Linked DNA regions of Caenorhabditis elegans. The protein of the gene in region 1 purifies or fractionates together with the protein of each later gene. This does not show direct contact. Each region holds a gene or a part of one and is shown in the gene's direction. Other genes may lie near its edges. The genes, in order: gcy-11, fbxa-150 and oac-56.

The links.
Region 2: the proteins of gcy-11 (region 1) and fbxa-150 fractionate together in Caenorhabditis elegans (co-fractionation; one large-scale study listed by BioGRID). This does not show direct contact.
Region 3: the proteins of gcy-11 (region 1) and oac-56 fractionate together in Caenorhabditis elegans (co-fractionation; one large-scale study listed by BioGRID). This does not show direct contact.

Annotation. Positions count from the first base shown.
Region 1 is NC_003284.9:17,049,797-17,059,519, reverse strand, and holds the start of gcy-11 (Receptor-type guanylate cyclase gcy-11), read left to right. Parts: upstream 1-3,938; 5' UTR 3,939-3,965; coding exon 3,966-4,119; intron 4,120-4,171; coding exon 4,172-4,298; intron 4,299-5,682; coding exon 5,683-5,812; intron 5,813-5,864; coding exon 5,865-5,935; intron 5,936-6,487; coding exon 6,488-6,629; intron 6,630-6,824; coding exon 6,825-6,933; intron 6,934-6,979; coding exon 6,980-7,135; intron 7,136-8,263; coding exon 8,264-8,368; intron 8,369-8,414; coding exon 8,415-8,527; intron 8,528-8,636; coding exon 8,637-8,793; intron 8,794-9,121; coding exon 9,122-9,282; intron 9,283-9,332; coding exon 9,333-9,438; intron 9,439-9,526; coding exon 9,527-9,614; intron 9,615-9,723. Other genes in the region: C30G4.4 (TSC22 domain family protein 1-like), read left to right, coding at 127-202, 296-322, 1,274-1,337, 2,141-2,232, 2,282-2,357.
Region 2 is NC_003283.11:20,519,270-20,528,403, forward strand, and holds fbxa-150 (F-box domain-containing protein), read left to right. Parts: upstream 1-3,328; 5' UTR 3,329-3,351; coding exon 3,352-3,500; intron 3,501-3,925; coding exon 3,926-4,011; intron 4,012-4,056; coding exon 4,057-4,625; intron 4,626-4,838; coding exon 4,839-4,981; intron 4,982-5,047; coding exon 5,048-5,192; 3' UTR 5,193-5,243; downstream 5,244-9,134. Other genes in the region: Y38H6C.25 (FTH domain-containing protein), read left to right, coding at 24-227, 518-793; Y38H6C.9 (DUF38 domain-containing protein), read right to left, coding at 1,111-1,243, 1,362-1,498, 1,552-2,069, 2,113-2,198, 2,961-3,001; srh-166 (Serpentine Receptor, class H), read right to left, coding at 5,431-5,618, 5,659-5,962, 6,028-6,221, 6,279-6,597; Y38H6C.24 (Transposase), read left to right, coding at 7,184-7,286, 7,386-7,468; Y38H6C.13 (F-box domain-containing protein), read left to right, coding at 8,606-8,685, 8,987-9,068, 9,118-9,134.
Region 3 is NC_003282.8:14,342,442-14,354,900, reverse strand, and holds oac-56 (Acyltransferase), read left to right. Parts: upstream 1-4,149; 5' UTR 4,150-4,170; coding exon 4,171-4,274; intron 4,275-4,330; coding exon 4,331-4,423; intron 4,424-4,452; exon of another isoform or gene 4,453-4,473; coding exon 4,474-4,645; intron 4,646-5,141; exon of another isoform or gene 5,142-5,162; intron 5,163-5,259; exon of another isoform or gene 5,260-5,280; intron 5,281-5,383; exon of another isoform or gene 5,384-5,404; intron 5,405-5,538; exon of another isoform or gene 5,539-5,559; intron 5,560-5,687; exon of another isoform or gene 5,688-5,708; intron 5,709-5,967; coding exon 5,968-6,096; intron 6,097-6,149; coding exon 6,150-6,485; intron 6,486-6,533; coding exon 6,534-6,654; intron 6,655-6,692; exon of another isoform or gene 6,693-6,713; intron 6,714-6,743; exon of another isoform or gene 6,744-6,764; intron 6,765-7,156; exon of another isoform or gene 7,157-7,177; intron 7,178-7,372; coding exon 7,373-7,680; intron 7,681-7,687; exon of another isoform or gene 7,688-7,709; intron 7,710-7,807; coding exon 7,808-7,928; intron 7,929-7,978; coding exon 7,979-8,087; intron 8,088-8,180; exon of another isoform or gene 8,181-8,201; and 13 more. Other genes in the region: srlf-28 (SXP/RAL-2 family protein Ani s 5-like cation-binding domain-containing protein), read left to right, coding at 11,081-11,192, 11,393-11,559, 11,603-11,723, 12,071-12,183.

The DNA of each region.
Region 1 (9,723 bases):
AAAAACAACAAAAAAAAATTATTGAAAATCGAACACTTGAGCGAGAATTCAAATTTCGAAAAACTTTAAAGGTAATAAAACCAGTAGTACATTTTTTTGTAAATCATAAAATATCAAAAATTTCAGTCAAAGTGAGTTCTGAAACCCAAATCAGCACTGGAGTGATGGTCGCCGAAGCGAACCAATCACGCAGGACGAAAAGGTTTTTTTTGTTGATTGTTGTGTTCTTTATTGTGTTTTTGTTGGTATAACCCAAATTTTCCCGGTTCACTTTCACTACTAACGTCAGTTTCAGAGCACCCCTTGTTAGAGCAAAAACTGTGTAGGTTACCTTTTTTCTTTTTTCTTTGAAACACAAAAAAAAAATTAATGAGTTGCCAGGTTCGTGAGAGGTAGAGAGAAAGAACTGGACTTTGAAAATTCAAATTATTTTCGAAAGAAACTTTTGTTTTGGAATATCTTAGAACGTGCTACTAGCAACATTTTATAGAAAAAACTATCCTGTTGACATTTTGAAAACTTTACCCAACTCTATGTAAGAAAATTTGCAAAAATGTTTAGGGTAATTAATTTTCCTAATATTTGACAGCATTTTTAACCTTCAATCACTTTTCCTTCTTTATATGTTCCTATGATTTTTTTAAAAGTATTTCAGTCAAAATATGTGAGTGGCCTTGAATCTAAAATTAAAAGCCACATCAGAAAATTCCTAGTTTGCAAGCCCACTTTTCAGACAATTTTCGATAATATTCAAGAATCGAAGTGATAGTTCGAAAAACCTATAAAGAAATTTATAAGCCATCCTTTTAAAAAATCCGCACGCCTACACCAAACGTTTTCTCACTCCTCCCCCAATTCCTCTCTTTCCCACCATCTCATCACAGCCACCGTTCGTTGGCAGCTCGCCAAGCCACGCCTCCACCTGATCAGAAAAAGTGGCTGCTGACTTTTAGTGTCTCTTTGCCTCCCCTCCTCCTCCCGCCTTTCTCTCCCTCCCCTCCTATATCGTGTGTCTGTTTGTTTCGAACTCGAGACCAGCTATCAGTCGACCACATAAAAGCGGTCCAAACTTACTATACTTTCTTCACCTCAACCTTTTGTGTATCACTGTTATTATTGTTATTATTTGTTACTTCTACCACCACCCAGTTTTACTAACCATGTGGCATTGTGCGGTTGTTGAATGCGCTGTGAACCATGTCCCAACATATTCGCCCCATTATGGAATTTCACGGGGATGCTCTCCATCATCCTCATCCGGCTCATGTTACAGTGTCGCTGCCAGCCCGCCTGCTCACAATGTGCTCAATATTGATAACAAGATCGAGCAAGCAATGGTAAGTGATGTCTTAATTGAAAAAAATCACAAAAGCTTTGCAAAAAATGTATTACACTTTGTCGGCTCATATCTCATAAAAACATAGGAATATTGTTATGTAGATAACAAATATTTAGCGAGTTTAGAAAATTGGGAGAAAAAAGACCGAAATAAAAAAGCTAATCTTACAAAAAAATCCTGTCGTTTTCGTACCGAAAAGTTGGCAATTCTGGAAAAGTTTAGCTAAAAAAAAAGTGAACCCCTTAAAATATTTAAAGAATATTTTCTAAAAATTTCTATCAAGATTTTCAGTTTTTAAAGCAGGTTACTAGGTTGAATATATTTCGATTAATTTAGTGTACCCCTAATTTCCAGGCGGTGGCTTCAAATTTTTTGCACCCCTACCACTTTCTCCGCTATCACACAGTACGTGATTTGCGTGCAGTATCCATTATTATTATTTCCGTGTACAAAATTAATTAGATTTATAGTCACATGGAGTTCAAGTTCAATTTATTGTTGTTCACTGATTTGAACCTGGTTTCAAGGTCTTGCCTTTTTAAAAACCACCGAGCTACACACTTCTTGCAAACGTTAACTTTACGTGCGCGAGATGATAAGAATTTCTGGTACTGGTACCTCGAATTAGTGGTAGCATCATTAGAAGTCACCGACGAACAATAAAGGCCAAAAACCAAATGAGTGTGTATTTATGGGGGGGAGACAGAAATAGAAGGCTTTCTTGTTCCAAATGTGATTATCACAAGTATTATATGAATTATATCAGATGACATAATGTTATAATTGTCTGTGTCTTTTAAGGACCTAGTCAAAACTCATCTGATGTTTGCCGTTCGCGAGGAAGTGGATGGCTTGAGAGGAAAAATTTTCGATCTGGAAAATCATGTTAGACGGTGAGCTTGAACCCTCATGGTCTTGTAAAATAATTTTAATGCTTTGCAGATTAGAAGCTGAAAATTCAATTTTAAAGCGAACAATTCCCAATGACACGCTAAAACAGCTACATCTAAAGTTATAATAATTTTAATTCCAATCAAATGTATGTACATTGGTCGCAGTAGGCACTTGGTCCCTCCAATTTCCGTTTTCACACTGGTGTATCCCCATCCAAAAACCCTTTCCTGTGTCTTTTCGTCCCTCGATTGATTCCTGATTTGATGCCATCACTTCGAAGATTTGTCTCTTCACTGGTCACTATTTGAATATATTACGATTTGTTTTGCAAAGTATATCAATATATGAACGTTTTGATTTTTAGTTTGGTTTTATACTGCTATTGATTTTGAAAAGTATTAAAAAATATTGGGGCTTTGCGCAGCGAACTTCCCGGCAAACAAGTGAGCTGAGGCCAACATCAGTTGAGGTTCGCAATTGACCAATCATATGTCGTCTGCGTTCATCAAGCGGAACGCTCATTTTCCAGATATATCATGACGTCATAACCAGTATGACGTGACTCACAAATTTGATCAATGTGATTTCATTTTTTGAAAGTCTATTATGTCTTAAAATATCCTGCACATTTTTTTAAACTTTGTAGTTTGAACGTCAAAATTTCAAAAGAAATGAAAATAGCGCAGCCGACGCCGATCGAGGTTCGCGTAAGACCACTCTCATTCCACATGCCAAGTGCCGTCTACGTTTATCAAGTGAGACGTACATGGTATGGAGTACTGTAGGGTTGATTTGGATTCATGGTCGGTGAACAACAAATGCTTATAAACAAATTATTTACTTTAATTTTAAAGATCAAGCTAGTTTTTAAGACATCATATTTTCAGTGATGTCACGTTTCTTCAGAAGTCTTCAGAAATGTTTTTTGTAAACAATGTTTTTAGTATTTATAGTTTCTACTTTAAAGTTCACGACTCAAATTACCAAAACGTGCACTTTCCAACTGTAACCTTATCAGAAAAAACCACTGGCAATTAAAAAACCGTGTACGTTTTCAGACTTATCAGCTGATAGTGAACTGTTTAGTGAACCCTCTCGCAGTAAAACATAGGCAGTAAAATTTTATAACTCCTAAAAACTCCCCAATCACGTTCTTTTCCTTTTTCTTCTTCGCCATCTTCTTTATTTTTGAATTCTCTCCAGTCTTCGATCTATCGGTCTTCTTTTATTTTCCGCCTGATATAAATAAAGGGTCACTCGTTTTACACTTTTTGACCGCACCTCGTAAAATAAATCATCTCTTACTATTGGGAGAAGAAAAAGCTTCATCAGAGAACCTACAAATTCAAATCAAGTTCTTTTTTCAAATACATTGGATTTTTGATAGAAAAAATGTTTCAAGATGCTTTTATTGAGGTGACGATTGAAAGAAAAATTGGAAAAAAAGACAGAAGAAGAGAAAAAGAAACATTTCCATCACATCACAACAGTTGCTTTTTCTCTCTGAAAATGTGATATTTGCTGACGTTGGTAAAAACTCATGACTCAGGGGGTACCGGAAATTGTGGATAGATAGAGTTTGATGAAGAATTGAATATAATTAAAACAAAAGTAGATCAAAATCAAATTTCCGGGAATTTTTGCAACAGGAAATTGCGGGATTACCACAGTATGCCAGCCCACACCTTCCCCCTTCAAAACCTTCACTTCATTCCACATTCCATGCTTGGCTATGCCATGCCGTGAAATCTTCCTATTATGGATATTGGTTCCAATAGCTTCGTCATCCGATCACATCACTTTTTTCGGCAGATATGCGTGCAATGTTGACTTCAAAACGGATTACTGCACCCCTGACACATACGTTGGACGCGCGTTCTACTATGGTACGGGACACAACAATAAAGTGCATTTGTGATTATAAAAAGTGGAATTCAGGTTTGGAAGATGGCGGCGGAATAACAACAAATGGTACTTTTGTCAACTCTGATATTACGGTCGAGTTTTTTGATCCAACAGTACAGGGGAACTTTTCAATTGGCCGGCAAGACGGGAATTATATGTCGTGAGTTTCCAGAACATATGTTTTTTGCGAATATTCGGATGGCTGGGCCTTTTTTCCAACATTTGTTTATAATGGTAGTGACATAGGGAATATTACCTATACATGCAAAAAATTCTCTAAAAAATTAAAGATTGGTTTCCGTTTTACTTTTTTTTAACCAACCTTGTTTTGAAACAACCAACTTTTATTTCTCTTTAAATTTTGAATCTTTAAATCTTTTTCTCCTAAATTTTTTTTAGCATAAGTGTAGCCACTTGTATGAATGTTAGAGCCACTTTGCACTTCCACAGTAATCCAGAAATTTTTGTTTATACAACTGTACCAAAGAAACGAGGTAAAAGGATATAAAGTTTAGATTTGTGCGAGTAAGTTATCTTTTGCTTTTTTGTGACTTTTCGAAAAAAATTTGGCAGAAAATGAAGAACATTTTTCAATGGCTTGTTACTCGTATTTAGCAAAAGTGTCAGAAAATTGGAATAGTATAAATATAGTACACATACTGTAGCGCAGTCAGGACACTGACTAATAAACTCCAGTTCAAAAATGTGTAAGGGAGACGATCATCGCGACCCCAGATGTGTCGGCTGCGCAGTTGGTACAAAGTTTTGCTACCTAATGCCTCAACGCTAAAACGGCCACAAAAATAGCAAAAAAAAATGGTTCTCAATTTGCAACTTTCCTAGGTCTCTAAATCTTTTTGCACCGTTCTGTGGTAAAGTTTGTTCTCATTTCTTCTTTCAATTGAAAATCATATCAATATAATAAAAATCAACATCCGGCTGGATTTCATTCCTACCGTACTCCACTCTTGTCTCCACTCACACCCACCGCCTCGCAATCTTTCTTTTCCCGCGCGCGCGCAAAAGTTTTCCGTGGTGACAGTTCCCTTCTCTTTCATTGCAGCTAGTGGCCCACCCGTGTTTTGCAATGTTTTGATCTCTAAAAGTCTAATAACGTCATCTCGTTGTACAATATAGAATGGAAATGAAGAAGAAAAAGGGAAGAAGAAGAACACGGCACGTCTCTTTTGAAGAAGAAGAAGAAGAAACAGACAGCCACTTATTATCCCCTCCAAGATATTTGCAAAGACTTTTTGAAATTTATGATAAGGGTTGGAAACAGAAATCAAAAAATGAGTGCAGCCACGTATTCAAGCTTTGGTCAATTTATGGGTCAGGAAGAAAGAACGTATCAACGAAAAATGTTATGTTGTATGTACCTAAAAATATACCTCAAGTTGACGTTAATCGAATTTGAAAAGAGATGGAACTTGATCAAGATCAACAATTTTTGAAATTCAATTCGACGTTTTATAAAATGAAATGATAAAAAAAAATCACATAAGGATGATCTTCAAAAAAACCACCAAGTGTTTTTTTTGCAGAAGCATGCTGGACATTATGCTTGCCGATACAAAAAAGAATGATGGGTTGTTGGGCGTAGTCGGAGTGGAGAATGATTGTAAAGAAATTGCGGCTCTCGCACAAGCCTACGATGCTTCAAGTTTGCTTGTGGTATTTGATACTTGAAATAAAATTAAATAAAAAACAACAACAAAACATTCAGAATTGTGAAGATCAAGTTGGAGAATCGCAAATGCCGTCATCAACTGCACTTCAAATGTCGTCGACTCAAGGGTAAGTTTGGAGCAGAATCAAAAATTAGGCGTCAGATCGTAGACTGTAGTTTAACTGAGCTGTTATTTCGAACCCAGACTATTTTGCCCTGTATGAAAAAGAAAAGAAAATCATAATTTTTATATAGTGTGTAGCTTCGAAAGTTTTCGAAATTCTGGAAACACTCCAATTTTTAAGGAATGCATTCCAGTTTCTATAATCCACGTTTAATTACCTTTGAAACCGAAATTAACGTTATTAAAACCGAAATTAAATTAATTTATTGAAAATTGTAATTTCCTTTTATTACGACTTTCATCTCAATTATTTTGAGATAGTTGTTTGCCGTGCTCAAATAATTACCAGAACGTCCCGAAATATTTTTAGTTACTGAAAATTTACAGCCAAAAAGTTTCTATTTTGAAAGTGGTCCAAATATCAAGTTGTTTTTTTTCCAAGTACAAGCAGCATTGCAACATTAATTTTTTATAGAAGTCATATATCATTACTTTTAAAGAAATCCTCTTTTTCGAAAATGTTACAGAGTTGATTTGTATAATAATTGAGTTTCAGAGGAAAATACAGAGCTTTTGCCAAGCTTGCGAAGTCAGTTGGCTGGAATAACCTGGCAGTGATAAACTTCGTGGAAGATGGTCCTGCAGATATATCCTATCATGATCAACTTCTGGATGCGTTGTCTGCTGAAAGCATCTCGGTAAAATATTGATCTGATTTTGTGTGCTTTTAAATTTTTTCGAAGTGCATAATAATAGAAAACGGTGCAAATTCGATACAATAGTCTAAAGATCGATTTCTAATTTTGATCCACAGTTTTAAATTTGAAGTCTGAAAAATTTTTTAAATTATTTTGTAACACATGTTTCACCATTAAAAAAAACTCTAATTTCAGTTAGACTTTGTCAAAAAAGGTGGTTTTTCGTCAACCATCACCAGTGCGATGTTTACCGGATTGGAATCTGTAATCGATGTCATTCTGGAGACGTACATGAAAACACGGAGTAAGACGTGACATGTACTAACGTTCTACTTTTTCATATCTTTTAGTTTATGTAATTGTGTTGGACTTACCAGTATCGGGGACCTTTTTCATGAATGCAATGTCTACAATGGGATTGTTGGAGACCGGAAAGTATTTTGTAGTTATGATGTCATCAATTGAATCGGACGCGGCAAACTATTTTGGCTTTAACGTCAATCGAGGTTCAGTTTCAACATTTCAGAGTTTCTGCTGAGTTTTGAATATCTTTCAATTTGACTTCAGCGTTAAATTTAAAAAAAGGAAGCCAAAATGCTTGTGTGAACTTGCTCCCAGGGGGCAAAAAATTAGGGGACACCCTCACAACTCTCAAAAGATGCATTGTAAAAGTCTAACAGGGGACAATTTTTTAAATGTGTACTGAATAAGAATATGACTTCTGAAGGAACTACTCAGCCCCGTAAATCTCAGCCCCGTAAATCTCCTTCTCAGCCCCGTAAATCTCCTTCAAGTCCAATCAATGGTGACATGAATCTTTCTGACCAACGTCAGCAAGATTGGAGATGGCAAAATTGAATAGATGCCAACTATGCTGGTTGGTAGTTGGAACATTAGCATAGTTGGTACATACAATTTCTACGTCACAGCATCTTGACAGATTTTCCCCACAGCTGGACACACAAATTTTTCTGCATCAGATTTCATCAGCTCCAAAACTGTTGTACAGGTCACCTGTCAGAGAACACTCTCTCGCAGAGGCAGTTATGTTGTCTGTATATCTCTACAGGCTCACCTCTCTCTACAGACTCACAGGCACTCTGTGAAAAAACTGTCAAGATGTTGTGACGTAGAAATTGTATGTACCAACTATGCTGATGTACCAAGTTGGTACTACCAACTACCAACCAGCATAGTTGGTACCTCTTCAATCTTTATGACGTGGTCGGAATGAGGTTCATGAGGCTGAAACCATTGTAGTTCTACTAGAAGTCGTATTCTTATTCAGTACACATTTAAAAATTTTTGTGCTCTCTGAGATTTTGAAATGCTTATTTGTGATTTTCGAGAATTCCCCCTAAGAGCGAATAATTTTACCCCCCATGGTAACCTTTGCGAAACCCCTAGCGTACTTTTAAATTTACTTTGCCTCATGCCGTTACATCAACCTTTTACCATGTTTTCATTGAAGTCCAGTACTGTATATTCACAGTACCGTAACGAATCCCCTTTTCACACTCTCAATGCAGTTTTGTTTGTTGTAAAGAAAAATCGACGGGACGCTTAAAGGCTCAATACTTCCGAAATTTTATTACCTCTCCTATTCGCTATGCCTCATAACACTTTTGATTAAGGTAACATGATTTTCAAGACAATCGACTACGGTATATCCGATGCCGACATTCGTCAGTATTACCGATCATTTATGTACTTCACAGACGTTCCACATTATACCAAAGGCTAGTGATATCATATTGCCTTTTGAATTAATTGTTTGGCTTTTAGACTTCAGTGACGAATGGACTTCATTCCAAAAACGAGTGGACGGAGACGCGTCAAAGACCTTCTGCCCTCCGATGTGCAATACAAAAGCAAAGGGAATCGCCAACAATGATCCGGTGGGTGCTGAGTCAGCACTACTGACCGGAAATTAAAGGGATTTTAAAAAAAGAAGAAGCAATCACATGGAGCCAGAGTCGGAAATTAATGTTTATTTATATATTTCAGTGGTCGGATGACGCGTATTGGTATTCCGAGAGCCCATCAATAGTTGATGCATATGACTTGGGAAGGTTACTTTCGGAAACTGTAAAAGTTCACGGAGCATCACTACTGAGAGATCCGGAATCATTAGTCCAGACAATGTCGGGAAGAGGAGTTACATGTGATTACGTTTCTATTATAGTTAAAGAGATTACTTTGAATTCGGAAAATTTTCATAAAAAGTGGCAGTTTTAGAGCTTTCGCACAAATTTTCGAAACGTTTCTTCAAAAAAAAGAAACAAACATAAAACAAATATACAAAAAACATTTCGTCATACGCTCTATGAATTCTTAAATTATACAGCCACTCAGTCTCATTCGTTCTCGAAGAATTTGTCAATTTCTAAAAAATTTAGATTGCAGTGCACCATCTGGGTGCTTTGTCCACAATACATATTTCTCAGCTATAGACCCCTTACATACCTTAACTTTCAAATATAATTATTCAGCCCTACTTGGATATGTTACAAAGTTCAACACCAATGGAGTTTCCCAACGAGAGTACATTCTATGGGCTCCACAACAAGCTTCCAGCTCAAATGGACCCATCCCTTTGCCTGAATGGGCAACTCTGGCTGCCAGAATGCTTCCGGATGGAAAAGGAAATTATGTAACTTTAAATGAATAGTTTATACTCAGCAAAAAAAAATTAAATTTAAGTCGATAATTTGGAAGAATCTAACACAACTTGGAATCTTCAATGGCGAGCTTCCCCAGTCGAAGCCCGAATGTGGATTCAACAATGAGCTGTGCCCCGCGGGAATTCGTAAGTTTCGTTGAATGCATGCCGTAGTTAGAGTAGACTAGCTGACTAGCAGCTGATCGGCACCGTAACGAAATCCATTGTTGAACAGGTAACCTGTCAGAACTCGAGATCATCGTCATTGCGGTTTGTGTGGTTGCAATTCTGATACTAGTCGGCGTGATTGCATATATTGCAAGGTTCGTGTTTTTAAAAATATATGTTGGAAAGTAGTAAAAATGTTCGGTAATGTGTATGGTTTTTAGCCGAATATGGTTGCTTTTCTCAGCGGAGTCCGAGCCAAGTTCC
Region 2 (9,134 bases), on another chromosome or scaffold:
TCGATAAGCTGAAACTGAGAGAAATGTCCGATTTCTTCAAAATCGAATATAAGAAGGCGAATGAAGGCCCTCCACTGATCTTGAACACATACAAACGGAAATTCACGAATGCTCTCAACGTATATGTGCACAGTCTAAGAAAAACTGCTCGGCAACTGCTCGTTCAGGACAATATACAAGTTCAGTTGGATTGTGCGGACTATCAACTCATTGAGTGCATTATTAATGTAAGTATTGGAAAAAATCAATGTTAGGAATTTTAGAAATTACTGTTTAGTCAGTAATAAGGGTACTGCCAAAATAGCCAGGGACTCTAACTTTTCTCCTGTCTCGTTGAAACGGGAGTCTTGACAGGGTCCATCCACTAAAGTAGTGAGCTTCTGAGAATTTGCCCATTTTCCGTTTAGTGCTATGTCACAGGTCACAAACCACAAAATTGACGGATATAAAAAATTAGCCTAACATATAATTAGTATATCTGAATGTAAGAAGATGAAGAAAACCATGAAAATTTCAGCTTCGTCGTCACGAAACCCCTCTCCTAACATCCACGTTCAACATCAACGTTCTTGAAAAAATGGACTTAAGCCCATTTATGAATAAAACCGACACCGTCCAAACTAACACGAACAAGGTTTTTCTTCACATTCCATTTATGAAAGGCAACAAACACAATCTGGAACACATTATGATCGTTCGACTGACCCCGTGGCATATCAGCGGAAAAGTCATCAAAACTCCGAAAACCATCGAAGAGCTCAGATTGGCGTTGCACAATTCATTCGAGATTTGAAGTTTTTTATGTGATGATTTTGTTGAGTCAGTAATTAGCTGTTCTTTTTTATTGGTTGCTATTAGTTTCAAGTGTTTGTTGATCCTATGTCTACCTCACATAGAATCACCTCAAATTCATCAATAAAGTCGTCAGTTTAAAAATAGATGTACGAATATTCTATGTTTAATTAAGTTGATACAAGAAAAAACTTTTTGTGTCAGTTTATAGTTTGTAAATATGAAATTTGATCTCGAGTGAAATGGGGATATTTCTATAAATCAGCAGCCGACATTGAGCAAGGACTTTGAAAACGTGTTGTTAGTAAAGAAGTACAATTAACGGTTACGGTCAAAATCCTTCAAAATACAATCACGACGGCAGATGGATCCATATAGAACACGGCGCCACATACCAACCACCAGAAGTTTGTTCCGATCTTCCATGTCGAAGAGTTGAACGTGTTCAAAGCTGACAAAAAATTGGGTTAGTGAGATTTATTTAACACTCAAAATAACTTTTAAGCTTCGCTAATTGAAAGTTATCTCGAAAAAAGTGAAAAAAATTAAGAAAAAGGTTTAAACCTCACCAAGTAATTTCTGCAATCTCTTCCTCGTTTTTTGGCTGAACATCAAACAAGCGAACAATTTTCCCACTCTTTACATAATTATCCACGAAAATTTTGAAAAACGAGTTAATAGGAAGTTGTGGTCTCGAGCGGAAATTCTGAAAATATTCAAGAATTTTATTGAGTGGTTTGAGTGGTCTCCTGTTTTAACCTTTATAATTTCCCAAGCATCCTCGGGCTCCAAATCACAAAGCGACAACTCTAACCGTTCGGCATGTTGCAGGAAATCATAGTTAACTTTGAAAGATGAATCGAATTTTAATAGTTGTTGCTCCGACAGAACCCTTGCTTCCAATTTTATGTACTTGCACATTTTGAATTGCTCCAGTTCAACTAATTTCTCAAAAATGGCACCGGTTACACAATCCACGTAGATTTTCTCCAGATAACCTTCCTTGAAAAGTGCCAAAATTTGCGCAGCCCAACTGGAATTTTCAGCATTTTTTCGAAACATTATCTCTTTCCCCTTAATTTTTACTTCTCGAGTTTCAAATTCCGAGATTAAAGTTGAAAACACTTGTTCGGGAGTTTCAGGCATATAAATAATCACTTTTTTGGCAGTTGTGCTTGGATTTTCGAAAATTCGACAAAGTTCGTGAACCGCCCGTGTTCCGTGAAATGTGAGACTTTCTATAGGGATAGTATTGATTTGTAGGCAGACTTCCAATTCTGGAGAAAAATAGAAATACACAAATTTTAGAATAAAACCTACTTTTTTTAAGCTCCACGTAGTCAAACGAATTTGGAATTTTGTCTGCTAATCTCATTTCCATTTTTGCGCATTGTCGAATTTTGCATCTATGCATGTAAATTATAACTGTTAACTTTGTAGTTTGTAGTCTACGACGTCAAAAAAATTTTTTTGGACAAAAAACCTTAGAAACTCAAATTTTGGGAAACTCCGAATTTCTGATAGTGAGAAATTTTTTTGCTAGAATTTTTTTAGTGCAAAATTGAAATTTTGTGATAAAATTTTGGCAGGTAATACAATTGTTTTCAGAAAATAAACTAGTTATTTTTGACAGGTTTGACATATTGATCTAGTTGTGTCCTACCATTTACCCATAGTCCACCTGCTCATGTATCATCTCACCTTTTCCCGTATTGTTACGAGTGAGCCCTGTGTGGCAACAGTCACTCTTTGTATCGCCAACCGCCTAAAAGTTTTCACACTTTTCTCCCTTTCTCACTTATTTATTGAACCCCAATGTTTTACTTTTTCAAAAAAAAAACGTACTATTAGTGTGATGTTTTAAATTTTCAGAGTCTAAAAAAATTTGGTGCAAAACTTTAATTGAAACATTTTTGAAAATTGTGGCAGGAAGAATTTTCAATTTTCAGAAAATATAAAATGAACCAGTTATAATTTTTTGAAACTACCTCATGATTCTAGTAAATCGGTAAAAAACCAAAATTTTTCAAGAAAGATTTTTTAAGCACTTTTCAGAATTTTCTAAAAATACGTACTTTAATTCTAAGTTTTTTAGTTTTGAATTCTCACCGCAATCGAATTTCTTCCGAAAGTTATTTTAATTTTCCAATGCTTAAAATTAAACTAACCTCTCTCCAAAAGTCAAATATTTCATTACTTCCAACTTCATGTCCTCCGGCAGTTCAGGCCATTTTTCGAAATTTCTCATTTTCTAATAAATTGCTGTACAAAATAAAATCCAATAATTCTTGCCAAGAAAAAAAAAACGATACAGAACCATTATTTTTCACATTTGCATTATTTCGCAATATGTTTTCTTTTTTGTCTATTTCTCTAACCCTCTCGTTTTCCTTGCCTGCCTCGAATGTGACAAATATTTTATGGTTTTGACTTTTTTCATTTTTTTTTGCTGAAAAATTGACGTGTTTTTTTGAATTGAATCATCGCTTTCGTTTTAATGCAAATTTTGCAATATTTCTCAATATTTTTCTTTTTATTTCAGATTCTCAAGAATTGGCTATGAAGAACAAACCGGATTTACCTTTGCACACAAAATGCGACAAAATGAGCAAAAAGAAAAATCTCAAAAACAGAAAATTCAGTCAATGGCAAAAATTGCCTGAGGATATTATGAGAGAAGTACTGAAACAGCTGGATTTTGAAGATAGGTACGAAAAAATTTTCTGACTGTTCTAATAATGAAGTTTAAAGAAAACCTTTAAAATAAACTCTCAACAAAAAAAATCAGCTGCGGTGGAGCATTTTGGTCCTGAAAAAAAGTCGAGCGGAGTTTTTGCAAATTTTTGTTGATTTGGAAACTGTCTAGGTTAGACAAAATTCTGAAAGCCCTTTGAAAATTTTTATTTTTTCTATGTATCTGAAAACTTTTGGTTGAAAAATAGAATATCCCGCCAAACATTTTTTAGAAAATTTGAAGTTCCCGTCGAAACATTTTCTTTCAAAAAAAAAACTAGAGTTTCTCTTGTTTCAGTGAAAAAGTATTTTCAAAAATGTTTTCTGTATTTCAGACTATAATTTTAGAATGAGCTCTCTCAAAAAAACGTGCAAACCAAAAAACACCAATAATTTCCAGAAGCATCATCCGTCAATGTTCACGCACAGAAATGATTTTGGCTGACAAAATTCCAGAAAACTTGAACAGTATCAATTTTCTTGAAGGTTCGTGTCCTTCTACAATTTTTGGAGAAAAAAACATTCATTCAGGATCCGACCCAACCAATAAGAAATATTATATCTTCCTGGACATTGACAATATTCCTAACAAAAAACTTAAAAATTTCAATCAAGAAACTAGGATGGCCGTTGGAGTCGGGGCAGTTGAGACTTTCTGTCGAATTTTCCGTAACAAAAACTCAAATGCAAAACGAGTTGTGTTCGAATTCCCATTCCGATCGACTCATCGTTCAATTATGCCACTTTTGATTTCAGAACTTGAAAAATCCGAAATTATTATCAAAGCTCGAGAAATCGCAATAGACTGCAATGAATCTACGTCGAAATGGATTCAAAAGCTCCTAAGCCGCTTCGAAATGGAATACCTAGAAAAAATCACAATGAAATCGCTGAGTGGGAAGGTTTTTGACAAACTGAAAATTACCGATCATTTCAAGAGAGCTAAATCCTTGGATCTTCACGCCAAGAAGAATCCGAGGGGGTACACGCCTGGGGTAGATCAAACTGTCGTAGTGGACTATGCCATGCTGAGCCACGTGGAGAAATACATGCTCACAGTGCATCAGCTGGTACCGGAAGATGCTTGGAAAGTGATCAAGGTGAGACAAGAAGGTAGCTGTCCAAACCTTACCAGGTCCACGTAGAGATCCGCATTTAGGCACTTGTCCGAACAAGTAGGCCGTAGCCCATAGTTAATTTGAACCCTTGCCTAATACTTCTTTTACAACAATAAAGATTAAATCGTGGGTCGCTCGGTGCTGTACCAACTTTATTCTCAATCTACATACATAGTCATCACATCAAATTTTTAGAACTTCCGCTCGAGACCCAACCTACCCATTGGCTCGTTTTTCAACATTGAGGTTGCTGTAATCATTGATCACTTGCAAGTTTTGCGCCAATTCGATGTTCAGCCAAAGCATCAGCCTCCTACAATTGCCGCATTACAATTGAGGTGAGTTTTAGAGGAACATTTTCGATAGTTTCCCATTGAAACTAAATATAAATATTTCTACTTCAGCTACCCAGCCTACACTTATCACGTGCAGTTCTTCGATGTAGAGGACTCCAACAATATTCTCGTTGTCTCAATCAGCATATTTGATGTGACTGGATCAATTTGCAGCCGGGATCATATTTGGGAAACGTTTCGAACGAAATTTTAGTAAATTTTAATTATAAGCACAAATTGTTATCAATGAATTATTTTATATCACAGAATAGTTTTTAACTGCTTGTCGGACACCAGGCACAAGATGTGCGTAACGGGTACTAGGGTACTAGGGTACTTGGGTACTAGGGTACTATGTAGAGTACTAGGGTACTAGGGTAATGGGATACTAGGGGACTATTGTACTGGGGTACTGGGGTACTGGGGTACTGGGGTACTAGGGTACTTGTGTACTACGGTACTACTCCTGTTTCATTGACTGATTTGTTCCAAACTTGATTAGGTTTCTGTACGACTCGTTTGAAACTAATTCCAAATACTTCCAAAGTCGCATTTCGATAAGGTGCGTGCACGGTCAGCATAACAAACGTTGATAGACCTCCATGAAGTGCCATTGTAAATACAGCAAGATTATTGGCTTCTAAAAGGCTTCATTACTCTGCAAACTTTACGAGGCTTACCTTGATTGTAATAACCGACGACAACAACTACAACGCAATAACCGGCTGGAATACAAATAGCGGAAATTGGAATGGCTACTTGTAAGCACATTGCGAAGAACAACTGTTTTTGCAGACGAGTTGTGGCTCGCGATTTTGATTTCAGCGTGAAAAGATACCAAAATATACTTAAGATGAAAAATGCGCCCTGTGGGAGAATAACAAGAGCCGCGATTCCGAGGCTCAAGTAGAGCGGACCAGATTCAGTGATTAATAGAAAAAAATCGGGATGATTTATTTTTTCTTCTGGAATGCAGGGATTTGTCTGAAACTCAATACCTAATTGTTTAATTGGGTCCAAAGATTTCAATGCTAGAGGACTAAACTAACCTCCATAATCATTAGTTTTCCAAGATTTTGATCGGGAATATTTAAAAAGCAAGGTAGAATGAACGTTATTGAAATAATATAGTGAATAGCAATGTATACAACGTACTTCCAGCCACGTTTTCTATCTACACCTGGATTTCTGATTAACTTGTGATATCGCTCCTCGAAGAACATAAGAATCGCCATTCCAATCACTGAATTTTAATTTTTAAAAAATGGTTTTCTGTTTACACAACCAGAATAAACCATACCTCCAATAAGGGAAACCCCTACGTAGGCTTGAAAAACAGTTGAAACCCCAAGCATCGTTAGTACTCCAAGTGGATATACGGCGCAGGCAGGTAAAAGGAATACTGGAATTTCTAGGCAACTCATATAAATGTCTAATAAGGCACCCGCCAAGTGAAGAACCAGCATATTCGTTCTTACATTTTTCATATTGTTTGGAGTCTTTGCTATGATAATATAAGCACCGAAGATATGAATAGGAACCTCGAACGAGGTAAGGATGTGAAGAGCATTTGCATGATATGTGTCTTTATCAGATAATATTGGAGTTTTGCTACACATTCGACAAGTGAAATTAGCAAAGGGAAGTTGAAATGAAATGAGAATGTTTTTGGCGTTGCATTCCAATTAATTTTGTTAATTAATTTTGCTGATTTATGCTGTCAGGCTTCTCTGGCATTTATTTGAAAAAAAAGAACGGCAAAAAACACAACATACCTAAAATGCTCATTGATAAGGTTTAAAATAAAGTATTGGTCCACAGAAAACCATCAAATTCAGAAATTTCAAGAATTAGTAAACACTCTATTTGCTATGTAACTCTAAAACGACTCTGTTTTTCCGCGATTTATATTTATTAATTATGAATCATATTCGTGTTTCCTGATCACCTTAACAATAATCATTTCTTATCAAGACAAAACTCCAGACATTAAAATCACATCACAATTTCCTTATCACCGATAAGGCTCTTTCCAGGTGACTCACTTGTTTAGGAATTCACTACAAACATAAAATAAAGTGTACTTACATATATTTCGTAACCCCAAACCTAGGAAAAGGAAATTGGAAAAAGTAGGCGTGTCCTATTAGTGCTCAGGGTGGTGAATATATATTAAAACGAAGCCAAGTGTTGGAGATTTGGAAAATGTCAGTTAACATCGGTGCAGTTTTGATGATTTTCGTGTATGCTATCAATTTTTATCTGTTATTTCAAGGTTTTGATTTTAAAAGCAGTTTTAGGAGTGAAGGTAAGGGATTTTTCGTTTTGATAACTTCTTTTTTAAATCAATTTCATGAGTTAATCCAACTTGGTAATTTTAACAACTGTGTAATTTTCTTGATTTCAGAAACTCTAATTGATTCGTATAATGGTAGTATTCAAGAAAATGGAAAACGCATTATGTTCCAAGGCTTATCACTTCGATCTTGATTTTAAATGTTTTGTTTTTTATCCTTTTAAGATGTGTGATCTCATTTTTCATTTTTTATCTGTTAATTGATAATAAATGTGATTCAAATTGTATTAAAAAGTTTTTTCAAGTAGTCTTTCTTTCCTAAAGCTAAGGGGGGTTGCTTCCCAAATTTTTGTTTAAATTAATGAAAATCTTATGAGGAACAAATCTTATTCTCTATGACTACATTAAGCAAACTCAGCAGATTAGCTCTTTGCTTTGCTGCCCAACGATGCACTGATGGGTCTCTGAGTCTTCAAAATGTTGGCCAAATTAATAGGTTTCCCTGGCCAGACGCAGATATTACGGACATAGTATAACATACTCAGAGGTGCGCAATATTCTTGTGTTGCCAATATTATCATCGTTTTGGTTACCATGGTATTATTTGGGGATCTAGCTTCAGAGGGAAAGAGTGAAATGAGCTAATTGAAAAACGGCATCATCAAACCCTGAAATTAACCGGAATACATATGTCATGCCTGGATGTCCCACTACGATTTGATCTACAAAAAATGCGGCAATTTTTTCCCAAAAAAATGTGACGTAAGCACCATGTGAAAGTTGAGAACTCTGCGTCCCAATTCCTGCAATTTTTGTAGATCTAAATAGATCAAACCGAAATGGAACACTCGGACACCACGTGTATACAGGGAGTTTACTGTAAATTAAATACTTTAACTGGAATTTTTGGAACTAGACTAGTCTAAGAAAGGGTGCTTTCTTGGTGAGGCCTCTGTTATGACGAACTCTGTAATTTTTTCTACTACGAAGGTTCTCCGATGCCTTTCCTGCAATTACTGGAACTAGGAGGAGGCATCTCCAGCTTTGGGCTCAAGCATCACGGGTTGTCAAGGAAACATCTGAAACATCCAAAAATTTATTTATTTTTTTCACATACTACACAACTCCTTTTTCGAACTTCAATGAATATATTAGATGAAAGACGCAGAGATAACTGAGAAATTAAAACAACACTGGACAGATGAGGTTGCTAGGAGAACAAAAGGGCGTGAGATAACTCACACACGAAACTGAAGTAGAAGGGCATAATTTTCAGTTTTTTGTCTGCGTGCTCAAATTTTTTTCAATTCATCCGTCTAAATAATAACGTCATGGAATCCTTCGAATACTGGCCAAGATTGCCTGAAGAACTCAAAAGAGAAGTTATAAAAAACATGGGATTTGCTGACAGGTATTTTTTATATGTTGAAATAGACTAAAACAGGTCCACAATCACAAAAGTTCATAGTGAGACTTCACAAAAAATGCCTAAAATGTTTTCAAAACTCCATTGGCTGCGACAAAGAAAAATGGGCATAATTTCAGATTTTAGCAAAGTTTGGCTCTTTCGCAATTTCGACCCACCATAAAAAATATTTGGAAATTTTTTGTGCAGTATCATTTTGAAATTCGATGCCTACCTAGCCTACCTTCATGCCTAATTCTTTGATAACTAGTTGTTTCATCTTGCCCGCAAATTTTTTATTTTCCAGATATAACACTCGTCTGTGTGCATCTCAAGAAATGAGGCTCGTCGATAAACTGCCAACTCACCTCGATAACCTGGAATTTGTTGTAAGTAGGCTTTGAACGCTGTACATTATTTTTTAAAAAGTGTTTTCAGAATCTGATGAAGCATTC
Region 3 (12,459 bases), on another chromosome or scaffold:
ACATTTGTTTCATAGTTTTAAACTGATTCTGAAAATATTTTCATCATTTCAACAACTCAAAAATCTCATGGAAATGGTCCAATTTTTGTCGCTATTTGGATTTAAATCATCACTTTGTATAAATTTTTGCAAGGAGGAGCCGGAAGAACTGGAAGTTCAATTTGAAAAATTAAAAAATTTCAGACTGTTTCGCATTCTTCATGAATATCTGAAAAAGTTGAATGTATTGATACAAAGGTTCCTAGAAGAATACGAATTAAATCACTGCGCTAACAAAAACAAACTGTTTCACGTGGATTATTCCTTGTTCAACAATTTTTCTAACCAATATGTTCGATTTTTTATTTCAAAACTATCTGTTAAACAAATTTTCAAAATGTTTTAACGCGTTTTGTAAGCTGTTTTCGGCTTGACTCGTTTTAGGTATGTTTTGGTAATTGTCAAATGGAAAATTATGTGAAAAACATAAAACTATAAAATGACGTTAAAAATTCAGAAAACATCTTTTTTCTTTGAAGGTCCATTATAGTTTACTAAATACTGTTTCACATTTATAATTTAAGCGTTGAATACTTTTTCAAATTATTAGATTGATTTTTTTATCATCAACACCGAAATTGATTTTAAAATTAATTTTAAATATTGTTTCAAAACTTGCGGAAATTTTATTCAAAATTTAGGTTTTGTTTTAAACATTCCCTGTAGAAAAGCACGACATTTATTAAAATTTTCTTTTTTTAGCTGATATAAAATTACAGCCTTCTCAAACACAAAGTTTTAGCAACTATAAAGGTATACTGAAACAAAACTATTTTTCAGAAACCACACTTAAAACATAAATGAAAAATTAAGTTGTTGTTATAAATTTGTAATTTGTAAACTGCTTATTTTATTTTTTCTTGCATTTTTTGTAGCCTGGAATTTATGTTTTTAAAATTTAAAAAGTCAACATCTACCAGACTAACTTAAATACGCATTCGGAGTAAAAAAATTGTCTTAGCATCAATTTGGGCAATAGTTTATTTTGAATTCGATATTTTCATTGCATTAGCTTTCAGAAAATATATCATTCAACCCATAACTCTCTTGTGACCAAAAAAGAGTCCCTAGTAAGACGACTAATAACAATCTTGGACGATTAATGTTAAAAAAGGAAACAGTATCTGTAATTTAAAAAAATTATTTCAGTTACTCGAATCAATTATTTTTTCCCGAGTGAAAAAACGAGTGAAAAAAATCAAGAGATCAAATATTAAGTCATATCTGTAGAAAAGCGGAACAAACTTGAACAGTAATCATGATACTATCTGAACAGAAACAGAAAACTTCACAAAAAAAAATTAAAAATTGAACATTTGTTTCATTGTTTTAAACTAATTCTGAAAATATTTTTATCATTTCAGCCACTTAAAAATCACAAGGAAATGCTCCAATTATTGTCGGTATTTAGATTAAAATCATCGCTTTGTATACATTTTTGCAAGGAGGAGCCGGAAGATCTGAAAGTTTAATTTGAAAAATTTAAGAATTTCAGACTGTTTCACATTCTTCATGAATACCTGAAAAAGTTGAATATGTCGATAACGATACAGCCTTACATGTATTATTATTGACTTTTGAATTTTTCTAAAATAATATCGATAAAATTACTGCGCGAGCAAAAAAAATCTGTTTCACGTAGATTATGTATTGTTCAACATATTTTCTAACTAATTTCTTTGAATTTGTATTTGCGAAACTATTAAACAAATTTTCGAAGTTAAAAATCTTGAAAAAAAATTTTATAACCGTTTATAAATCTGTTTGGTTATTATCATATTTTGCTAAAAAAAAATTTCAATTTATTGTTTAGGCATTGAATATTTTTTTCAAACTAATGTTGATTTTCTATCTTCAACACAATCTTGGAAGATTAATGTTAAAAAAGGATGTTGAAATTGTCAATATTGTTTGAAAACTTGAGGAAGTTTTATTCAAATTTTAGGTTTTATTTTACAAATCCCGTGTGGAAAAACACGATTTTTTTTTCTGAAACTCTACAATTTATTAATTTTTTTTCTTTTCTCGCAGATAATAGCTACATTTTACACGCTTTTACTACGTTTTTACAACGATGAAGGTCTAAGGTCTACTAAAACAAAACCATTTTTCAGATAAAAAACTGAAAACATAGATGAAACATCAAATAGATAAATTTGTAATATTTAAAATGTACATTTATTTTTTCTCTTTTATTTTTTGTAGCCCATAATTCTTATTTTTTAAGTTAGAAAACTTTTTAAAAAACTCCAGCAAGAATGAAGAATAACAATCTTGGTAGATAATGTCTAAAAAAATTTTTGTTGAAGCAGCATCTGTAATTTAAAAAAACCATTCCAATTACTCGAATAACTTATTTTTCCCGAGGGAAAAAATAATCAAGATTGGAAAGATTTCCGCGCATCAAGTATTTTCCTAATACAAAGAAAGTTCATATGATCAATTTGGCAAAACCATAAAACAGGAAGCAGGAAAAATCCGGTATTATGACCTGAATAGAGTGGCTAAACTACACACACACGAGAAGAAGAATACCGTTCATTTGCGTACACAATTTTCTCGATGATCATTCGTTGTGAAATAAAATTTTTATTGGAAAAATATTTATTCAATTTTCAAGCTGAAAAAAATGAAAGAAAAATTTTAAAACTATATGATTTTGTTAACAATCGTGTTTTTTTCTTTAAAACCACTGAAAAATTGTTTTAACGAATAAAAACTGGAAATTTTCACCATGTTTCTGTATTTTTTGTATTTTCACAGAAATTAACTGATCATATAAGTAACCAGTGAAGAATATAAAACCGGTTTTTACTGGATCCTAATCTAAATCCTATGGATGTAGTGAATAACTTTTTACTTTTTATTGCAATGTAATGAACATTTTTACATGTTTGCAAAGAAACCGAAAAAAAAGGTCTTTTGTCAACCTTTTCTATAATTTGTTTTGCTAATTTTGAAACATTTTTTTCATTTTTTCACAGTTTCATGTTATTGGTTTGTTAATAGTAAGACTAATTCCGTCATTCGGACCAGGGCTGTGCGGCTGGCTGATATTTTCGGCTGTCGGCTGAGAACAATTTATCAGTCGGCTGTCGGCTGGTGCTACCAGCCGAAAATCCCAAAATTTTCGGCTGTCGGCTGGCGCCGCCAGCCGGCTGGTGTTTTTGGTTAAGTATTGCAAAAAAGTTTCGAAGTTATTTAGTATACTTTTAGTACAAAAACATACTATAGCAAAATATTTCATCATTTTATTCATCAAAAAACCAAATTTTCTTATTTTTTCCACTTGTAGAACTTGCATCTAGTGTCAAAATATGTCAAAATGTCAGTTAATTTTTTTTCAAAACGCCAGCCGAAAACTCTAATTTGGGGGTCGGCTGGCGCAGCCACCCGACCTTTCACTATCAGTCGGCTGTCGGCTGGCTGCGTCAGCCGACAGCCGCACAGCCCTGATTTGGACTTTAACTTTTTTCAAAAAATTTAATGTTTCACCAATCCGTGATATTTTTGTAACAATTAAATATGTTTGTTTTTTTGGTTTTTTCACGACTAGTTATTTTCAATAGGAAAATTTTAAAAACTTCCTTTCAGAATGTTCTCTCTTCATAATTTTGAAATTACCTTCATTTTTAAATAATTTTAAAACTAGATATTTTATAAAATTATAGTTCTGGATGATTTTATACTACTTTGAAACTTTTAAGGATGTGTTTTTCAATCCTGACCTCCTTAGAAATTGTGTTCTTTTTTGATTGAATTTCTTGAGTTTTGTTGGTTTAGACGTTTTGTTTACAATTAAAAAAAAATTGAGAGCCGTGCACATTTTGCATTTAACAGAATTTTGCCATGTCGAGACCATGTACCATATTTTTGGCGCAAATTTTTTGCATCTAGGTTATTAGCGATTTCTTTGTTTTAATTTTAATTATTTTTAATCAAGAAAATACAAGTGTAAAGGCGCAGAACCCAAATCTGAATCTTTCCTTTTTCCGATCCAAAAATGACAATATTTACCGAATTAAAACTTAAAAATATATAACAATTTTAGCAACTATGTGAAACATAACTTTTTTCAAATTTTCCTCTTTACCATAAATTTCAATTCAATTTATTCCAGATTTTACCACAATGCGAGAAGACATCCAATGCCTTCGTGGTATTGCTATAATCTTTGTTTTACTATTTCACTTGAACCCTAACCTATTTGTTAATGGATTTCTCGGTGTTGATATGTAAGCCCTGAAACTATTTTTAATTTTTGAAATCAATATTTATTTTTCTTTTTTAGATTTTTTGTGATATCTGGTTTTCTGATGGCTAAAAATTTAACAAAGGCAAAATTAGTGAAAATTCATGATTTTCTGCTGTTTTACTATATGAGGTTAAGTTGACAGCATTTGTGGTGACTAATGTAAATCCAAATTTTTATAGATTCCGTAGGATTCTACCAATGTATTTTCTGGCGGTTTTCCTGATTGTTGTAATGACACAGTTGTGTCTTGGAGATTTTTTGTGGAAGAATAATAATCGATATGCGTTGGCATCGCTGTTCATGGTGACGAATCAGCTGATTATTCATGATCAGGCAGATTATTTTAATGAGGTAAGAGAAGAAAATTCAGATTTATTATGGGAAGTGTGTAGTTTTGTTCACTTTTTCTGTTATATTCACTTTTAAAATTATTCTTTCCTAAAAAATGAAATTTCAAAATTTTCGGGCATTCAACCCGAATGCTTTATTCATTTTGCTTTTAATATTCATCACTTCTGTGGAACAGTAACTTTTTTATCCAATATTTAAAACAATTTTTAAGCTAAATGTAGCAAAAAATTATACAGCAACTTAGTTTTTTATAAGTTTATCGTGTATTTTACCCACTTTATATGTTATATTCACTTTTCCAAATTATTCTTTCGCAAAAAAATGAATTTTCAAAAATTGTGCAAACTATACCCCTTGTGAGTTCAATTCTACCACAATTTTTTTTTACAAAAAGTGTCCATTCCTTCCATTTACTGCAATTTGATAATCCAATATTTAAAACAATTTTCAAGGTAAAAGGATTTTGGAAAAAACTTAAAATTTTGTTATGAGAGTTTTCATAATGGTTTTAAAAACAGCTCCAATTAAACGACATTCTAATATTTTTCAAGTTTTGGAAATGGTGAAAATATGAATCATTTAAGTATAGCGTGTATAACTTTTCATGTAATGATTTCATTCTAATAATTTCCTTAATAGATTTTAAATATATCGAACAACTTTTCTTACAAACTTGAAACAGTGTTTAAAATTTTATTCACAATGGTCAGAAGCGGCTAAAATAGTTACACATCTTCTCTATTTTCAACAAGTTTTGTACTGAAAGTATATTAAAAAAGATACAATTATGAAAATTTATCGAAATAGTTTTTTAACTTGATATTCAATTATTTAGTCTTTGGCAAAAGGACATTAGATTTGTCTATAAATGGCAGGAACTCTGATAATTTTTTTTTAGCTATTTAAATTGATTAATGATTCAGAAAAATGTTAAGCAAACTTTCAAATTTATTTGAAACAACATTTGAAAACTTTTCAACTTTCCTCGAGTTGAAATTATGCCACAAATTATTATAAAATCATTGTTAAACTCTCTATAAAAAAGTTGAATACAATACGTTGAATGCTCTCTGTTGGTAATTGGTTTTAAATGACAGAATAGAAACCGTAATTTTTTTTTCTAAAAATTTCAAAATTATTTTGCAAATTTATTTTCTGATTTGGCCTATTTTCTGGTGTTTGTTTTTAAAATGAACCCATTTTAATGGTTTTTTTTTTAATATTGAAAATAATAATTTCTAAAAGTTTAGTCAGAAAAAGTGTTCAAAACTTTATTTTGCCGCAAACCCCGCTGGAAATTGTCAAAATATCCAATTTTCCAGTTTTTTGCCGCCACGTCTTCAATAAACGGGTTCCTTCATCTATGGTCCCTCTCCTTGGAAATGCAATTTTATCTTTTTGTTCCAATTATATTTTTTGGACTACAATTTCTGAAAAATGACTATCTGAAGGTAACTCGTCTTTAACAAATTTTTAATTTTTTTAAAATTTTTTAATGTTTCAGCTAGCGACTGTCTTGATAATTTCAGTTTTCGGTTTCATTGGTTTTGCCCTGATCTTGGACAAATTCGCGTTCAACTTCATGTTCCTCAGATTGTGGCAGTTTTCTGTAGGATTTTCTGCTCTTTTTTGGAGCAAGATTCAAGAAAATGGAACACCTAGTAAAACTGAGAAGCCTAGCACTTTCACATGTCCATTGACTAAAAATGACCTGGTTACTGTATCCTTGTCAGCGCTAGCACTTTGTCTATCAACTATGGAGATTAAAGTTTTAGTTCTAAGACCACTGGTTACTGTAGCAACTGCTGTGATAATTGCATGTGAATCGAAAAATTTTCAGGTAAGTTTATAGCATAATATTTAACTGAATTTAAAACAGAAATTTCAGTTTCTAAAATCCCCGACACTCGGGTATATTGGGGATATTTCATATGTATTGTACCTGGTTCATTGGCCAGTTATTTCAATTTTCTTGATTTCAAACGCCAGAAGTTATATTTTCTGTATCAGTGAGTTGGGATTTATTTATTGAAAAAATAATATGTAATCTACCGTTTCAACAAACTGTGAAGTAATGAATATTTTCAAAAGTATTCAGTTATGTTAAGATCCATGATTCCTAAATAATTCCGATTTTTCGTCAGTATACTAGACTACAGTCTCGTTGTGAAAATGAAATTTTAGAAAAGTGTGACGTCACACTCGGACTTGATTCAGAAATTTTTTAACCAGCTGAGGAAACTGTTTAAAGAAAAATTTTCTTAAAGTTTAAAGCCCAAAATTTAAATTTCACAAGATTTCACGATAATACAACTTTTAGAAAATTTCGCCGTTTCATAATGTTAATTTGAAAAACTTGTAGTAATCAAATTTAAATGGCATTTATTATCGGTTTCTTGAAAATTGGCAATAGAGTTTTAGTTTTAGTTTTTTAAAGGTTTTTTTTTGACATTTGAAGTATTTAACTGTTTCATGTTGGTTGTTTAAAGATAGTTAATGTTTTTAGAATAGTCATCCTCGAATCAAATGTTAAAAACTTTGATTTTTTTTCAGAATTGCTCTCCATCTGAAAGTTTAAGTTTCACGCATTTGAAAAAACTAATTTATTTTTAAATTTAAACTCTCTTCTCAACTGACTATTTTATTCTCAAACATGTACCCTTTTCCCAAAAATAATATAAGATTTCAATTACTCAATAGATTTATTCTATTCAATTATACTTTCAGTGATCATATTCATTTCATCAATTCTTCTCCATCATCTTTTCGAGAAACAATACCTGAAATTGGACATGAAAGGAGTTTTTCCATTAATTTTCCTACTAATCGCAAGTAATGCATATTTTCAATATAGTGTCAGAAATGACACATTTTGGATGAACAATTTCACACCGGAAACTCGAGAAATTATCGACAAAAACCTGGTTTTGTATACTTCGCTTTGGGATTTGGAGCCAAAAAAGGATAAGTGTATCGAAAATGACATTGATGTGCCTTTTCCGAAAAATGATCTCAAAGGTTATTGTAGATTTGCGGTGAGTAAAAGTTAAGAGAAATCAGAAAACTTTTTACTTTCTGTTTCTCGATTTTTGATGAATTTCGGAAACAGTAATTTTTTGAAAAAATATTTTTTAAAAGTTACATCTAGGATTTCATTTTAAGCCAGGAAAAGGCAATTTATCAGTCATGATGATTGGAAATAGCTATGTGCTTAACTTCAGCGAGCACATCCGAGCTCATTTTAACTACAACTATTCAGATTATCGATATATGTCAGTTATTGGTGAGTTATAGATCTTATTCTGGTATTCTTATATTGAGAAACATTTTCAGCCAGTTACGGGCTTTTTTCGGACCACCGTTTGCTTTCTCAGCAGGCTTTGGAATTTTCAAAGAAACAAGTGGAATTGCACAAGCCCGACGTGCTTTTCATAGTGGCAAGGTAATACTTATTTCATTTAGTAACATAAACTTTCAAAATTTTATTGTGAAAAATTATATAAATTAAGAAATGCTATTTTTTTTTGCTTAATTCTGTACATAAAATATATGACAAATATTTTAGTATTGGAAAGTTTTTTTTATCAACATTGTGAAACATCAAGTTTTTTTTTCAAGTAAAAAAGGAATTTGTCATTTTACTTTAGAAACAATGTCTCAATGAGCCTGCACTCAATAATTGTTTTATTTTAACGAACATTCATTTTAGTTAATTGATCTGGAATTTTTCAGATATATGAATAACATAAAAAATCCTGTTCAAAAGGATGATAAGATTGTGCAACAAATTAATGAAACAATTGCACATTATGAAAAGTTAGTTATAAAAAATCCTGTTTCAAAACAGAAAAAAAAATATTTTAGATACGTGAAAAAACTATACATCCTGGACGCATTCCCAGAGTTTCATGAAAACTTTTTGAACTTATTCCTGCACTACGCTGTAACTAGGCCAGATGACATGGATGCTCTGCATTTGAGTAAAAAGTTGGCGGACGACGAAAAGAGACCGGTGGTGAAGAGATTCAGGCAGATAAAATGCAAGAAATGCCACGTGGGTTTTTAATTGTTTGTTTTTTTTAATTATATGAATAATTTATAACAGAAAATAAAAAGTTTCAAATTTTAATTTTATTGGCGTATACAGGATGTGATGAAATTTAAGAAAAATCTAATTTTGTAATTCTTGGATTTAAAAAATTAAAATTTGAACTTTTCAGTAAAACTTTTTTGGTTTCCAAGTTTACTGAGTTTTAGCAACGAACACTGAATAAAACAACTTCACAAAACAGTTTCAATTGAAATAATTAATATTTAATTCTTATAAGCTTAAGCTTTGGTCCCTAGTTTAACAATCCGATTTTATAATCAAAAAAATCATGAAGTCAATGGGAAACTGTACGGGAACTTGAACGTAATTGCGTCAAAAATATGTTGTTGTCTTCAAATTTGGAAAAACAAGTCAATTTTCAGTTCTGAACAGTGTACTTTCCATAGATTTTGAAATAAAATTATGAAAAGTTATAAAAACTTCAACTCGAAAAAGTTTTGTTTTTAACTCAGATTTTCACTATTTCATATCCTTCATAAATTTCTGAAAGTTTTAATGTAAACGTTACTTTTCGTATTTATCTTTAATATTTCCAATTCCAGTTCTTCGATCTCAGTCCCATGTTCCTGGAAGATGACAAGTACCTGACATTCGATAAAGACACAATGTTGGCTTACGTGGATAATTCCGTACATCTCACAGGCCCTGGGGTGAAAGTCTGTGAGCCTGTCTTCAAGAAAATTGTCACGGAAATTATGGATAGTTTTTAAGATAATTGTCTGAGTATGATGATTTTATTATTGAAATAAATTAATTTATTGATAACCTTGCAAATTGTCTAAAGAGTGAAAAGATAATTAATAATTTAATTTTGGACTCATTTATGTGACTTGATGAGCAATATTATTAACAATATGACAAAAGTTAGCCGTAAATCGATTTTTAAAATGTTATTGCAATATGACAACACAGTGAAACAGACTTCGATAGAAAAATATAATAAAACATAATAAAAATGCTGTTTCAAACTTATTTTAAAATTTAGAACTTACTAGAAATGTATTTATGTGTTGAGAAATAACAAAAAAAATGTTGAAGATTTTTTGAGTTCAATTTTTTTCAAAGAGGTATTGTGTGAAAAATTTTCAGTTTCATGTTCATGATAGAAAAGATTAAAAAGTTTTCAGAACGTTGAGAGCACATTTTAGAAAAAAAAGTCAAAACGTTTTTTCTCAAATGAGTTTTTTTTTTAAGTCTGATAAGTGTGATTTTTTGAGAAAACTTATTTTAAATTCAAATGCAATATTTGGCAAATAAGAAAATTGAAACCAGTTTGTATTACCAAAAATCAGTTTGAGATCATATGGATTATTAGGTCAACAAAAACAAAATGTTTTTGAAAACATTGTCAAACAGCAAGAAATAACTTTTTTCCAATTCCAGTTGTAAACTATTTTGGAGGTTCAAATTTCGATGGGTTTCAAATTTTCAAACTTAATTTTTAGGTTTGACATATTCAAGAAATCAGTAGTTTTTCCTTTCACATTTAAAATTCTGAATGTAGAAAAACAATATTGTACTTTTGAAGTTCTAAATTGAACTGCTTGGCTCTTTGTGAAAATATATAAAAGGTTATATCTCGGTTCATTTGTAAGATATCAATAAATTATTAACTGCAAATGTATAGAAGGCGAACTAACAAAGATTTTGTCAGTTTAAATTTTTTTTTATCAGACAAACAAAAGAAATATAATCTGTAAAAGTCAACGAAAAAGTAGAGACTCAATATGCCGCTCTGAAGAATTCTTTTCAGCCATGTCGGGGAATACTGTGTTTAAGTTTTCTTATATTTGAAAAAAAACACTGTTCCAATTAAGTTTGCATATCCAATTCGGCTAGCTTACGCATCGAACTAACATTTATCAAGCATGTTTCATAAACTTAGTGAAACAGCGAGCAAAGACTATTTTCAATTCATGCAAAAAAAATAGCTCGGCGATCCAAACTTCGATCATTTTCTGATGGTTGTTTTTTTATATCTGCCGAATATGTCTGGCAGGCTCAAGAACTTCGTATCGTACTATACCGTATCAAATTAAAATTTAAATTCACATTTCAGGTCAAACCGAAATGAAAATAAAATACTTTTTTACATTTTTTGAATCAAAGGAAATATGATTTATTTCAAAGACAAAACAGTTCAGCAAATCGAATTGTGTTTTTTCGTGCCTTAAAATCCAAAATCTCATAATTTCCAACACGACATAACTATTTTGAACATACTGTCCGTTGTTGAGAAGAGGGATAATCCTATGAAATGATGATGATGGCGAGGAGATGAAAATTCGGCCAAAAAACGAAACTTTCAAACATTTCAACTAAAAATGCCACTGTATCCAACTTCAATTTTTATTTTATTTTCTGGAATTTTATTAATTTCAAATGCCCAAGAAGCTGCAATATTGCCAATCGATGTGGCTTCTCCGAGTTCAACAGGTAATTTCGAAACCTTCAGAATAAGATATATTCTAGTTTCACAACGATTTATTATAACTTTGAAACAGCAATTTTTTAATTATAATCTTCTGAAAGTTTAGTTTAAAAAATTTTTTAAATTCTTCTTAAGTCAAAGCATTATTGAAACCAAATATTTTGTCTTAAAAATCGTTTCTGAAACAGAAATAAATAATTCTCAGAATCCCCACTAATTGAAACCATGACTGACACCCCTGCTTTTCTAAAATCTGCCACGGATAGTCAACGGAAAGAATACATTGAGTTGGAGGGAAACCCCAATTTGACAATGGATATGAAGCAGAAGGCGTTGAAAAATTGGGCACAGAGATGCGGAGATCCTGTTAATGTTTGAAAATGCTGGAAAAAAGAAAGAAAATTTACGGTTTCAGGGACTTTTCACAATGTACATGGCTGAGAAGCTGACATTGCAGTCACAAGAGGATTCACGAATGGCTGTGATTATTGGACAGTTGTCGCCTGAAGCACAACAAGCGGACACTAAAGTTAGAGGTAAAAATCCTTTTGTTAGGCGTAATCAAAATTTGAACCTTGTCAAAGCACAGTCGTACTGGATACTTATATAGTACCTGTAGTTATTGGCATGGTGAAACAGGATTTTTTTTTTGTAATTCAACGAGAAAACAGTTACAAATTGATTAGAATTATTATTAAACTCATTTTTTATGGGAATAAAGTAACTGTCAGAATTAACAAATCAAAGTTTTAAAATCCTTATGTGAAGCAGTAGAAAACTTTGGGAACATGATTCAAATGATAGTAAATTTGTGTGAGAGAGTCTTAAATTGAGTTGGCCTCGATTTTGTCGGCTGCTAATTTTCAAAGCGTTATTATTACAGCAATCACCACAAACATGAATCAGACCAAAAAAGAAATGGACACAAATGTGGCGAAGCAGTTGAACAAACTCCCAAAAAAAGTCTACTATGAGCTCACTTTTGCAACTCAATAATTTTTTTTTGGGATGTTGATTTTGTTTTTCCTGGGAAGTAATAAATTGTGATTTTTTTAAGGTTTCAAAATTAAGCAGCAGACGTTTTAGGGGTGAGAAACGAAGCAGGTTTTCATTGCTCATAGCTCATAGCTCAGCAGAAATAATTCGCTACTGTATTGTACACATAATATATAGCCAAGGGTTATGAAAGTGATATGTATTATCACGGTCGCGGCTAGAATAAACTTGAGAAAAATTTGAAACAGTACATCTATTTTACCAAATTTTCAAGTG